Lepisosteus oculatus: one gene and its partner. The protein of the gene in region 1 purifies or fractionates together with the protein of each later gene. This does not show direct contact. Links are inferred from orthologs where the notes say so. Each region holds a gene or a part of one and is shown on either strand. Other genes may lie near its edges.

Region 1 (7,286 bases):
TCCAGAATTCTTGAGCATCGGTTTTAAATAGTAAGCTTTCTTATACACAGAGCTGTTGGCTAAAAAGCGCAGTTAAATATTCCAAAAGTAGTGATTTATTTCAGCTCCCTAAAGAAAAAAATAATAATCCAAAAGCACTCCCAATCTCTCAAAAAGGTTTTCCAAAGGATGTGAAAACCTTTCAGTTCACCCTTGCATCTTGGTACACAACAGCCCTGCATATCTAAATGCAAAAATAGATGGTTTTTAAGATAAAGTCCCAATTATTGTCACCTGATACTCAAAAATAAAAAAATGCATCTTGTATGCCCTATAGATGAAATGAGTGTTTGTGTACTGGCCATTAACACCATATTTATAAAAAATAAAAAAATCTTAGATTGTTAGTTCATAAACTTTTTTTGTGCCATATATATTTTTCCTTTGTGGTGGTTTTCTGGGGAGGAGGTAAAAAATGCTATTGTTCCTTCTAACATTTTCAGCAACTGTTCTAAAAACGAGAATGATACATTAAATTGTTTTATTCCAACAAGCTTCTATTGGTCAAAAAACGATTATTCTAATTTAATTCAAAAATCATTTTTTCCATACACTGGATAAGCAACATATAAATATCAGCCCTTTTCCTTATATGATTTAAATAAGTACATAATATTTAATAATCAGATCAAAATTCCACTTCATGTGCTTCTTTTACACAATCATAATGTTGAAATCACCATTTTTATTAAATACTTGGTAAAAAATACATAATTAAATGTGGGAGCTTAACAGTCATTACCTACATTTTGATGGGTATTTAAATAATTTTACATGAATAAACTGGAGTGCTACTCACGGGACTTATATACACAGAAAACATTCTCGCACAATTAATATATTGCTCATGTCTTAAAAACAATATAACCTTAAATATTAATATATATTCAAGATTATTTTAATTGTTATATATAATCATGACAAATAAGTCATCTTCCGAAAAATATTTTAGACTATTTTGTTCTTTGAGCATATTCATAATACACATTTTTTGGGTTGTTCGGTTTTTAAACAACAGATCTGCAATCGAAAAGTTTTAACATGGCTGTTGCTTTTAAGAGTAATTGTCCTGTGCCGCCATATGTAATGGAACTTTTAAAATTAGTAAATTATTCATAAAGTGACAGTTAATACTAATATCTGAATATGCACCTTTTAACTCGTACGATTTCTGCCCTTGATATAGAGAAGAAAATATAACTGGGCTATTAATTCTCAAAAAAGTCATATATTGGAATTTTAATTAAATGCAACTTTTGGGGCATGTTTAAAACTAACAAAAATTAACAAAGCCTCATTAAGCACTTATTTTGTTCGGCTTTTTTTAGATTCAGAAGGTAAGGAACTTGCGTGAAATACTTGCACAACAAAACGCTACACGGCAGAATTTAGGCCCCTTTGGTTTGATGTGTGCTCTGAAACTTGTCACTTTGGATAGTCTGAAGGGAATCTGAATGAAAACCGAATGTGTATGATCTACCAATCCAATAGACTTAATCTCACAACCAGTGAAAACCTTGAAAGAGCTGGCAGAGAACTAAAAGGGAAAGTTTTAAACAAATTTCCACACATGTGATGGCAAGCTGCCATTTGAAAGCAAACTAGAAGGCGAAATGCACATTTTAAATGAAATCTGCTTAAACTAAATGCAAAGTTTGATGAACAAACAAATTCGACAGTGCATTGCTATAGCTCTTCATTGTTAATAGTCTGTAGGAAAATGTTTCGCAAAAGATACCACCAATTCTTGTGTAAGCAATTTATGTGTAGTTTTTGAGAGCTATTCCATAAAATCTCTATATATGACTCACTTAACTTCATTGGCTTTGCTGTTCAGTCGTATTTTTTACATCACTGCAAAAAGGAATTAATACGTTATAAGCAGAGTATAGTCAATCGATAATGATCACTTCTTCGCGAATGGAAAAAAAAACTAAAAAGTTGAGAGGATGCAGCACTCTATAATACATTTCTAAATCACACGTTACATTCATTAAACAGTTTTGTGTTTTTTAAACCACACACGAATGTTGCATTAACAACGAATCGTAAGCTTTATACGGTATCTTTTTATAAAAAAATAAACAGTAATGTTTCGTTTAATCGCCAGAAATAGTTTATAAATTACACTTGCCTCCGACGCGCTTCATAGACTTCTACCAGATTACAGTAACCAGCAAACAATAAAAGCAAAGAGATCGCCTATCCAACAAGTTTAGAATTTTTTCAAAAATGCCAGTATTGAAAATGGTAGAACAAGCGCTTTTCCATTGCTTAGACAACCCCCTTCAAAAAAGAGGAATCTCAGTAATAAGTTATTATTTAAATATGTTAAACTTTCATGCTTTAAATGCTCATCTTTTGTGTTGTTTTAAGAGGTGGCAGAACGAGAAGAATCTTTTTTTCACTTTTCTCAGTCTCGGATTTTTTCAGCAAATTTTGCAGACTTTTACTAAATTGTAATTTGATCCCTCTGACAGACTGCAACAGACATTCTTTTTTTCAAACTTTCATAAGCTGCCAGGGCTATGCAGTTCAAAAGAAGCTCAAAATTCATCACGCTTCTTTTAGTTTCTTGTACTTACGTGTCTGAAAGCTCCTTTTTCCAGGCTGCTTCTTGGATCTTTTTTTTCCCAATTGAATCTTTTTTTTTGTCTGGTTGCAGATGTTTCTTCAGTTTTCGCTTAGCCAAGAATCATGCGCTCTTTTTCTCAAGCTTCACTTTCTGAAAAGCGCTCAACAAGAAAACTTTTTTCTCCTTTCTGCACTAAACTAAACAGTATGCACCTAACTAGCCTCTTAAAAAGTGCCTACATACCTGTAAAAACTACAGTCTGTCTGAGAGAAAGTATTAATCTCGTGGTTGAGTGTTACTGTATTCAGTGTAAATTTAGTTGAGAAGAGGCAACTCCAGCTGCTCTCCGCTCCACGACTCCTCCCTTCGGATCGCACTCTCTTTCTCTTCCCTCTCCCTCTCTCTCTCCCGATCCCGCCGCCTCTTAGCAATCACAGCACTGCCTCGGAGATGGTTTGATCACTCCGCACTGGGATTTCTTGTGCCACTCTTTTAGCGCTGACTTCAGAGCCACAGAGGTGGTGGAGTACGAATTGGAGGTCTCGCTGGGGGGGAAAAATAGCAGTACACTTTCTTAGTGTACTTAAAAAGTAACCTCATCGGTTGGTGATAGCGCGGAGGGCTTGTGCTGCGTGTTATAATGTCTCTCCACGTTTTTGACAAGCTGGGAAATAAAATAACTGGAAGGGCGAAGATGCTAAAGGTGTAAAAAAGAGAACGGTTTACAAAGAAGCACGGGGAATGTATGATGAAAATCCATAACACGGACAAATGAGCTTCCAAATCTTCACAGCATTTGTAAGCGACAGAAATTTCAGGATAAGGAAAGCCACTTAATGTAAAGCAAAAACCCCCCAAAAATGTGTAGCTGAATGCTAGTATTTTGAAATCTATTCAAAAGCCACAATTCAAGCAAAATATTCTGTGAGAATAATGTGACATTTAAGAAATACTTTTGTACCATGATAGCTACATTTTTTCACATTTCTATCCTTTCTGAATCATGAAGTCCCTCCATTATTGGCAAACTTCTCATGCGGCAGGTAAGGGTCACAGCAACCCGGAGCCTATTCAGGGAGTATAGGGAGCAAGACAGGACTGGATAGGATCTCCCACATCACAGGACAAAGACACGGGGACAGTTAAGACTCAGATTAAACTAGCCACCATGTCTATGGGAGGTGAAGGAAACCGGAGCACCAATAAGAAAACCAAAGGACCCCTTGAAGAGCATGCAAACTCCCCACATAAGGACCTAGGATCATGCTGCCCCACTCCCTCAATGCTCGTTTTTATCTGGATAGTTTCAGATTATTTTCATGTGACCCGTCCATTTCTAACATTCATCCATTCTCTAACCTCTTTATCCAATAGTGTTGTGTGGGAGCCAGGGTCTTTCCCAGCAAGCAATAAGCACAAGGATGGACACCATTCCATCACACTGCATGCACAAATATACACACACACACTCACACTGTGGTCAATTTCCTCTGAAGCCAATTAACCTCCCAGTATGTCTTTGGACTGTGGCAGGAAACTGGAACACCTGGAGGAAACCCACATGAACACGGGGCAAACATAAAAACTCCATGCAGACAGCACCCCAAGTTCAGAATTGAACTCAGGGCCCCAGCACTGCAAGGCAGCAACACTAACCTCTGCACATGTTGATGCCTTGTTCCAGTTCACATTTATGTATTAGATGAAGAACAGTATAATATAACTTCATATCCACTAGAAAATAAATGTTACATAGTACCTAGTCAAAATATGTTCATGAAGAATTTTACTTTTGTAACAGAGAAGTATACATGCTCTTCTGTCAATATATTACAGTACTCACTGTCATTCGACATTCCCCACCTATTTCAAGAATATCCTAGTCAAGCAAATATGTCAGTTTCAAGCCAGTAAACTCAGTCTTCTCCATCTTAAATAATATTCTGGTCATTAAAATCCTCTAATGGAGTTTATTAAACTAAAGTTCGGGAGGGGTGACAACAACCACACTATCATCCCGAGCTGTCAGCAATTTGCAATCACTCCCTTAGTCCTTTCTCCACCGAACACTATTACTACTAAATGCGTTATCTCTCTCTCCCTTGCGTGCGACTTTTTCATCCCACCTCTGCAGCTGCCCCTTGGTCACCCTGCGTGGGGGTCCTAACCTCCTCGTCCTATGGCCAGGAGGTTGGCTTTAGCCAAGCGGGTTGAGTCAAATATTCACTCCACAATAGTTCGCCACGCTTTGATTTTGGGGCGTTGTCATTCCTCGTGAAATGTGCTAGAATACACATTAACAAAGTGAAATTAAATGTGTAACTGTCAAAATCTGAAATGTGAACAAATATGCCTTTGCATCACTCATTTCCTTTTAAATATTGCTTGGGTCTGTTGATACATTAGTCTTCTATTATTCACTATTTAGCCTGGTACGTTTCTCACAAACTGTGAATCTCAGGTCCTCTTTTTTTTTCCTCCTTGCCTTTGTACCTATCTTATATTTTCTTAAATCTAAGTCCTCTTTTTTATTCATTTTGTTTAAGAGCAATTTTAAGGGTTATGTATTATTTTGGAATTTAAGAAAGTTCCCCAACTAATGAAATTAAAGGGAAAAAATAAGAACTCATATAGAGAAGATGCAGTCTAGAAGGAAGTGTAAAAAGCTTTATAGCTTTTGTCAGATAATCTTTGCCTGCATGCAGTATCTTCCCCCATCTAGAATGAAGGATTAATACTATTTACTGATGCTTCAGGACTTTCCTCTGCCACTCTCTCTTTTGTCATTTGTTTCAATGGGAACATACAGTCCACATACAGTATTTATCCCCCTTAACAAGCAGGCTTCCTCCACTGTCCAAGAAGATCAAAGCAGTAACAATGTGGGAAGTTGGGGTATTAGGAACTGACATGCAAGACATAAGAAGGGGCATACTGAAGGTGACATCATCCACCTCTACTTGAGTTCAGTCAAGTTCAGCTTGTCAATGGCTGTTACTACCTGGTATTTCCCAGAGATCAGTTTATCCCAATACTTACTCAGGCTAGCAAAGTCTCTCGACCCTCTGTTGCTGCAGTCTTCCTCAGAGAGTCCAAACTATTTCTCTGACAGGCTGTTGGGATAGATAGTGGGAATTTTTCATATTCATTCCACAGTCCTGTTTCACGCACACCGGCTTTAATGTTTCTGAAAAATGGGCCAGGGATTTCTCAATGTCCTGTCAAGAAGGAGCAAAAACATCTTGCATAGAATACAGTTCTAGTACTCTCCTGTGCATTTGTTTAAGAAGACCTCAAATTCTCTATCCCACCTGACTGCCATTCCAAAATGAAGACATTCATGAGAAATCAGTTGATACAAAGTGTCTACTTATACAGAAAATGTGTGTTTTTATATAAATTAGGAATTCCTTTTAAATTTAATAACGTTATTTTTATCTAATTATTAAATTATTTCAATTGAAATAATAAAGAATGTCACTAATGTGTGAGTTGTCCTTCCTCAACATCAAAATATTGGAATCAAGGGAGCAAATCCTATTTTTTAACACCAATAGCACTTTGAAAAGGGTTGCTGAACAGCAAATATGATTGGATTAAAAGAGAATTGAATCTGCAGTGAGATAATCTTCAAAATGTCATCTATTTCAAAGACTTAGAACTGGTTCTTGTCACAGCTTAAAATGTAAAGGCGCAAAAAACATGTGGGAATATTATATATTATATGTTGATCCATCAGTAAATCAATCTTACAAACAGCATCAAGCGTTACATTTCAGAGAGGAGAAAATATTAGGGATTAGCTTGTTAGCTCACAGAGCTTGTGTTCAACTGCAGAGATGGCATGCAGAGTGATACACAAAAATAAAAAGTTTATTTCTGCTCCTCAGAAAAAGTTGAAGGGTGAGGGTTTAAATCGCTTGGAATCCCAAATTTTCTTCTTTCTGTACTTACATTTTCTTGCAGGATGATTTTATGCTGTAAAAAATAATCACTGAAAGATACTGTATAAGCAGCATAATAACAGTAGTACTGGACCCTCAGATATGGATGTTGACAGTTACTAAACACTTTGTAGGACATAATGTAACATCTTTAGTGCTTCAGGGGACTGAACATTTAAAAACTACAAGACAAGAGTGAGTACTATGCAGATACATTTAGACACATGAATTATACCAAAATCCCTACTGAATCTTTGTCTTTTCTTGAATATACTATATACTATCATTTAAAATTTATTAAAAACTAATGTATTCTTAAGTATGATTTTGTGCTGTTCGTTGCTTCAGTCACTTGAATTGATTGGTCCACTTTTGGCAGTTATCATGTTCAAACAGAAAATGTTTTGCAGTCTGTCACATGGTTCAAACATCAGTTCAAACAACAGTTAAGGTCCTGATCACTTTTATAGATCGGACTTCATTATGGACCCAAATGTTTTGTCCTCAGGAAGAATAAGGACAGAGGGCAGAGAAAGTTCCCTCTAGGAAAGGAATAGCTAGCGTTCTGTGGGAATGCTGTATTCAGTGAGGTGTCAGGTTTCAAAAACCAGATTTTCGAGAAATCAAAATAAAGTAAAGTGGTGAGGACCAGACTAAAGATTCAAGATAAATGTTCAGAATGAAACATGATACTCTATAAAAGTGCAAACATTAAAAAGATAGTATCA
Region 2 (7,078 bases), on another chromosome or scaffold:
ATTTTTTCACTAAAGTACTAAAGAAACGCAGGGCAGGCCTGCTTTTTCTGTGGCCTGGTATTAGTTAATTGTACATTTATGGCTGTATTTCCAACCATGGATAAAAACCAACTAGTTTGCAACATTCCCAAACTACACACTGCACATCCAATCACAGGACCATATCCTACATAGCCCTTTTCAACAGAATATTTGTAAAATATGTCATGTTCTTTTCTGTCCCTAAATCCTGGGAAGTAAAACAGTTTACACCAAGGGAATTGAGGGGAAAAAAAAGCAAAGGACCAGACATTTATTCCATCCTTTTTGTGTGTAGAAAGTATATGTATATAATTTACAATTCACTACTCATCTTTAATCTAAAGTATGGTATAAGACTCTATTATGTTAAATTATGCAAAACATAGCCCATGTGAAATTAGTTGAAAGGCTCATTTTCTGCTGGCTCCTGCGGTGAGGTGATTGCCTAACAAATTACATTTCAGTTCAAATTTACAATTCATCCATGAGAGCAAGAGAAAGATATTCTGAGCATCACAACTAGACACATGAAGCTGAGGACTGTCCACATTTATTTCCTCCTGGAAATTTACACCCCTGTATATATCCATGACTCATGGAGTTACAGACATACTGTATGTTATCCATTTTTTTTTCCTTTTATTTATATCCTTATATTTATATCCTTTTATTTCTTTATTTTCATGATGTTTTTTATTCTGCTTAGATTGCTATTTGCTGTGCTAGCTACCCTTTCCAGAAAAAATAACTTCAGATAGAACTTTTCTGAAAACATAATGCAATGAAGTCCAGTCTTGTACTGAATTAATGGAGCAATTCTGAACTTAATTATGAGTATCATACTTTAAATAATTCTGTCATCTAGAAATTGAGCAAAAATATACAGTAATTAAGGCAAACACTTCTCATCTTAGATATGACTGTAGAAAACATGTCCTGTTTCAAAATGTCCTAAGATTGGTGGGCCTTCTGGAAAACCCTTGTCTTCAAGAACCCGTCCTTACTGGGATAGTCACTTAATGGCAAAAACAAACATGTAGATAGAAACCCCAGCAGGTTGCTCCCACAACAAGGCACAAAACAAGTCAGGATGAATATAGCAGGAAGGGGAAGTTGATTCAAACTGGTCCTTTAAAGAATTCAAGAAACACTATATGTTTCACATTGGCACAGAATACCCTCCAGCTATGCATTGCTGCACTCTAGAATAAACTCGTAAGTACAGAAAAAAATGTATATTTTATACTTGGTGCTCATTGTGTTAAGAAAAAAAAAGCAGCCAGAAAAAAACTTCACTATTTGTCTGTTAAAAATTAATAGGCTGCTTGCCTATGCATATGATAAAGAGATCAGCTGTCAATTGAGTTATTGTATTTTTACAGTTCTTGGTCCATGAGTTCTCATTTCTATGCAAAGGAGCCATTAGTCATAGCTGTGTTCCCGCACAGTGTCTGCTGTACAATCGGATTCTTACAGAGGATGAATCTTCCAGTCCAGCAGCCTGGCAATAAATAATCCTTTCTTCTGCTGACATAAATCAAGAGAAATCATACACCTCATTTTGTTGATTCTTCTATAAATCTGTCAATTGTTCATGGGAGCTATGATTGCATATTCATGAACACTGTTGAAAAGTTTAATCATTTATTATTATTAACAATAATTAATGTGCACAAAGATTTATTTATAATTACTTTGTTTTGGAATATAGTTTAAATGACAAATGCAAGCTGGATATGCCCACAACATGGATCATAATAATGAAAAGGCAATAAAGGGAATAGTCCTTAATATCTATACTGCACCTATGAATAAGAAAAGAAGTAAAAGAAAGGATATATTACTAAAATATTACTAAATGTACTAAAGCATAGATTTAGCAAGAGAACAATGCTTTAATACCAACCTGAACAATCTACATCAATGTTACCACTGCAACCACAGCCATGCTTACTACTATAATACTAGAGCCTGTACTATTACAAATGATGGTCATTGTAACAATAATGCAGCTCTGACCTGGAAATCCTTGTCACTTCTTGACTTTCTCGGTGGTGACACGAGCTACTTGTGCTAGGATAGAGGATCAGATGGGCATACTATTTAAATGGTATACAACAGTTACGGCTTTAATTGTTAATGATACATTGGAAAAACATCTGAAAGGCTATTGATAAGAAGTGTTGAGGTACGGTCACACAGCGGCAACCCCAAACAACTAGAAACTATATGGACGATGGTTTGATCTGCTAGGAAGTTGTTTGGATTGGTATTTTGTTCTCTGATTTTATCTGTCAATAGTACATGAGCCTGTTGACAGTAATAAGACAGTTTCAAAACAGCAAGCCTAGAATCTGCGCATGAAATAATTTTATCTTATGATGTAGCAGAAATCTAGTCAAGGTGTTTGAATTTAAGACCCCATACATACTGTAGTTGCACACTGAAGAGCTCATACTGGCCTTGTCTCAGTGCCTGTCTGATTTTAGTCAAACTTTAAAAGTGGACTACCTTTATTTTGTAGCTTTGCCTTAAGCTGTCCCACTGGTCCTATTTTACCACCACAAAATTCCAGGACTGACTTACTAAGGTTCACGTTTGCTAAAATATCATATCAAATGTAATAAATTGTATTTATTTTCAGTAGAAACACAACCATAAATAGCAAAGTTTCCATACATTACTGGAAACCTTTCTTTCCAGGACACCAGAGTTGCAGCCACAGTGTATTAGCTGTGCTTTTAACATTATCATTGGGTTCAAATTCAGACATCTACTAATTAAAGCAATATACAGTACGACTAATAATAATAATGCAATTAATTGAACACCATCTTATGTACTATTCACCTAACTTCATGTAATATCTTTACTAATAACTGAAATTATAATAGTGCTATCACTGTAATGTCAAACTGTATATTTGGAGTTCCATCTATTCTTGATCAAGGAGCACCTTATTCCTAAGGGCTGCTTGGAGTTATCCTGAAAACAGTGCACAACGCAGTACTACTCTCTAGACTGGACACCAGTCTCAGAGCACAGACACACATTCACAGGTGCAGCTACAGTTTAAAGACAGCAATTAACCTGGCCACCATGTCTTTGGCAGGTGGGAGGAAACTAGAACACCCAGGAAAAGCAGACATTAAAATTGAGAGAGCATGAAACGAATCCGGGATACAAACGACGTGAAGCAATATTTTATGTGTTTTTTTTTAAATAACAATGAATTAAAATTAATAATAAAGCAATTTTACAGTTCATAATAATACAGCTTTAACATCGCACTTAGTATACAGCACATCATAAAAGCATATTATGGCATACCATAGCAGAACCAGATCAAAAGAGCATTGCAGCATAGAACAAGAATCCATGGAGAATAAAAGTAGAAATTAAAATAAAGAATGGTTAAATGACCGGAAAACCTAATCCGTATACGATACTACGCAGACGTTCAGAATGGAATTTGCACATTAACTATTCACTTCTTGGGTAGTTATCAATACACGTATTTATTATGTAATCAGTACACATGATAGAATATACACATGTGCTGTGCTGTCATATATAACACCACTGGATAATTCCACGATTGTGTCCACTTCTATATATGACAAACTGGATATGGCCAAACCAGTGTTTAATGTTTCTTTTTTTAATTGTTCCATATTAAATCAAATATCGCTTGTATGTAAAACACGAGACATACTACAATAGCAGAATTATCGCATTTCAGCTTTAAAAAAAAATAATATTAGATTAAAATATGTATCCAGTTATTATACTAAATGCGTAACTAACCGACAAAACAAAAGATCGAAAAACTACACATCCCAGAGTAACGCACTCGCTTAGTGGGATTTGTAGTACGTAAAGGCTTATTGTAAATAAAACAGGAACTACCAGAATGCATCAAAGGCTTTTATAGCGCAACTGGGACTTGTAGTGTTTGAGATATGAGCATACACAATATTTAGGGTTGAAGAAACTTCAAACCCCACAATTCTGTTTCAGCCGTGCAGCCTGGGCCGCTGGGGGGTGAGTGCCGTGGAACGGATTTTCCTGTCTGCAGCAGCGGCAGTGGAGAGACGCAGGTCCCGGGGCTGAGAGAGAACCAGTCCCGGACAGACTGACGATGGAACCAGAGACGGTACTGCAAGAGAAGGCTCTGAAGTTTATGGTGAGGAGATGACAGGGCAAAGTCGGTTTCTGACACTCGACAGAACCCAAATGAGATGAAGGTTTGGGCTTGTCCATAGCGGTTTGTGCTGGAAATGAATGTACCGGTGGGTCAAGCCGCCATCTTGGACTATGATAAATAAACAGACAAAATAAACTTACGTTTATTTATTGAAAAAAATCCGTAAGCTAAATGAGATCTTTTCAGGGAAGAGAATATAATGAATATTATGTGTTGGTGTGTTGATCTTGATAGTTGTTTGCTTGAAGTAATCGATGTGTTTTTCTGCCCAGTGGATGTTTAGCTTTGGCCTGTGTTTACATTATGCTTGATTCGGTGCGCTTGAATTTATGTTACGTCAACTAATATTTGTATCAATTTTATTGAAGTGTACTTTAATTGAGGTGTAGACTATACTCTTATATTAGCTTTTTAGATGTTGGATATAGTGTCTTTCATATAGGCCATTTTTGTTAGGTTTTACTGGTGGATGTATTTCATATTTTTCCTTGACGTGTCCTGTGTTGTGTTTCAGCACAAGTGGTCACGTATAATTAAGTCTTAATGTTGTCTGTGTTGAATATAAACTACAGATACGCTCTTTTAATTGATGGTTTTGTCCTTCAGATATCTTGAACAGTGAGGTTTCATCTTGAAATAATTACAGGTTAGTGTGGATTATATTGAATTCTGACATAAAATGAGAATTCAATGTAATTCAGAATTGTAATCCACACCACACTTCAAAAGACTGCCAACACTTAAATACTTACCTTTGGTATTAAAGAGTAGTTCAATGCACAGATTTGGCTTTGCAAGTGGGCTTACCCCTTTAAAAAACAAATATTATTCATATTCATAGTCTAAATAAACATTATTTATATGTATAGTGTAAATATAAGATATTTGCATATGTGATATGGTTTAAGGTACATTAACTTGGCATGCACCACTAAAAATATTAATTCCCAGATTTTGTAGACTTTGTAAGAGGTTTCTTTTCATCTCAGTAGTGTTTGTATTTATATTGAGTTCTTCTGACTCAGACTGAGTATTTACAGTACTGAATTCTCACTTGTCAGGTTCAGTCCACAACTCATTACAGCTGTGTTTGTTTGCCCTATTGTTGGATGGTCCTCTCAGGCTTCCAGGCAACATTACTGGACACTTATTGTTATTGTTCTGCTTGTTTTATTCATCTACCAACATTTCCAAATGTGTAGAAAATCATTATTGTTTAACAAAAATGAATGAACTTTCAAAGGATTGTGATGGCCTATCAGAAATTGTTTTGGTGAAAGTGAGACTGAGAAGTCACAATGTCTGGCTGCCCAATGGCTTGCACAGTGTGAGATGTGCAATAAATGTTTGACATCTTTCAAACGGTTTGGCCTACTGGAATGAGATTTGGTATAACTACATAAGTCAGGCCAGGTTCCCTTCTCAAGGTTGTTCAGGTTGCTACATTCAAGAACATGGTCACTGTAAAATCAGCTGCTTGTGAAAAACGTTTCTTCAGAAACATTGGGTAAGTGCAAATCTGATAAACATTGTCAGGATGATTATAATTTGGTTAGAACAGCACTCCTGTCTTAGCCTTCTTGACTTTCTGAATATTATTTAGTTGTCTTGTCAAAACACAGACTGTTTCTGAGCAAACACTTGGGCATTTAATTCAGTAGACTCAGTAGATGTTACTGGCCCACGAATACAGTTAACATGCTGAAAGCAGGTTCTCATTTAAACCAAGATGGCTGCCTGACCGCCATTTTGTTTTCCAACATCAGCATACTGTTTTGTCAATAAAGAATTGTCATTTTTTTCCTGAAGCTTGGAAACCGTCTCTTTCTGGGGGAAATGCTGCACAGATTGAATTGAAACATGACATGGTTTATTACGCTGACATCTCCTTCAGTCTTGCACCTAGTGCATTGCAGCAGTAGTTCATCACCTGTTTGGTGAATTGGTGCCTTGTAGTGCTGTTTTTCTTCCAAGAATTTGCCAGTGAAAACCTGTTGTATATCATTGTAATGACGTTGCTGTTAAGAGTATAGCAAATTAGGATCCCTTCATACATCAGGATGCCAATTACTTTGTTGTTTTGTTGGTGTGTGTCCTGTACCACAGATTGTACTATTGGCCATTTAACTCCAATTCTGGTAGACATTTCTCAGATGGCAGTGTTTAATTTTTGGAATGTGGGATCCTTGTAGAAACCAAATTACTTGCCTAGCTTCCATTTTTTTCTGGATCTTTAAAATTGCCTGTCTTGGGGGAGCTCTGTGCTAATTGAAATTTAGCCTGTCTTATTTACATGTAAACCAGCTTCAGACTGCTTTGTTGAGGTTTTGGTTTATATGCCCACGCCAGGTATTCGTGTCCTTGGTGAATCATGTCCTGTAACAAAAACATCTTAGTATGTATCATTCTAGTGGCTGCATAATTATGATAATGCAGAATGCCATTTCTCTGCAAGCCATGGTTCGAAATTTCCTTTTGATATTTTTAAGTGGAGTATACTGCATACTGCTGCTGTCGAAAACTTGTATTTTATGACATGGGGGCTAGCTTGAAAGCCTGTCAAGCTGAATGTGGTTTTGTAATTGTATTTTCCTTGAGAACTCAGTCTATTGATGGTACAGTTAGTGTCTGATACAATATCATCTTTAAGGCATAAGCCAAAAATGAACCAGCACCTTATTGACAAAAACAATAATTTCACAGTACAGTGTACTTCTAATGTGCAGTGCTGCCTCTTGTATCCAGTCTGTACTTTTCAATTGCTGTCCGATTTCTGAGAAGTTGTAATTTATTATGCAGTACATAACAGAAATACACCACTTTAGTCGTGCTGATGTTTGAAAAGATAGA

The links. Proteins that work in one complex are often made in the same cells at the same time.
Region 2: the proteins of gli3 (region 1) and F-box/WD repeat-containing protein 1A purify together in Homo sapiens (affinity purification with western blotting, with the first as the bait; 3 studies listed by BioGRID). This does not show direct contact. The link is inferred for Lepisosteus oculatus from reciprocal best matches to the Homo sapiens genes GLI3 and BTRC.

The regions. Positions count from the first base shown.
Region 1 is NC_090701.1:16,241,730-16,249,015, reverse strand, and holds the start of gli3 (transcriptional activator GLI3), read right to left. Parts: upstream 3,008-7,286; 5' UTR 2,625-3,007; intron 1-2,624. UniProt on the Homo sapiens protein: Has a dual function as a transcriptional activator and a repressor of the sonic hedgehog (Shh) pathway, and plays a role in limb development.
Region 2 is NC_090699.1:35,670,890-35,677,967, forward strand, and holds the start of F-box/WD repeat-containing protein 1A, read left to right. Parts: upstream 1-4,054; 5' UTR 4,055-4,162; coding exon 4,163-4,207; intron 4,208-4,834; exon of another isoform or gene 4,835-4,874; intron 4,875-7,078. UniProt on the Homo sapiens protein: Substrate recognition component of a SCF (SKP1-CUL1-F-box protein) E3 ubiquitin-protein ligase complex which mediates the ubiquitination and subsequent proteasomal degradation of target proteins. Recognizes and binds to phosphorylated target proteins.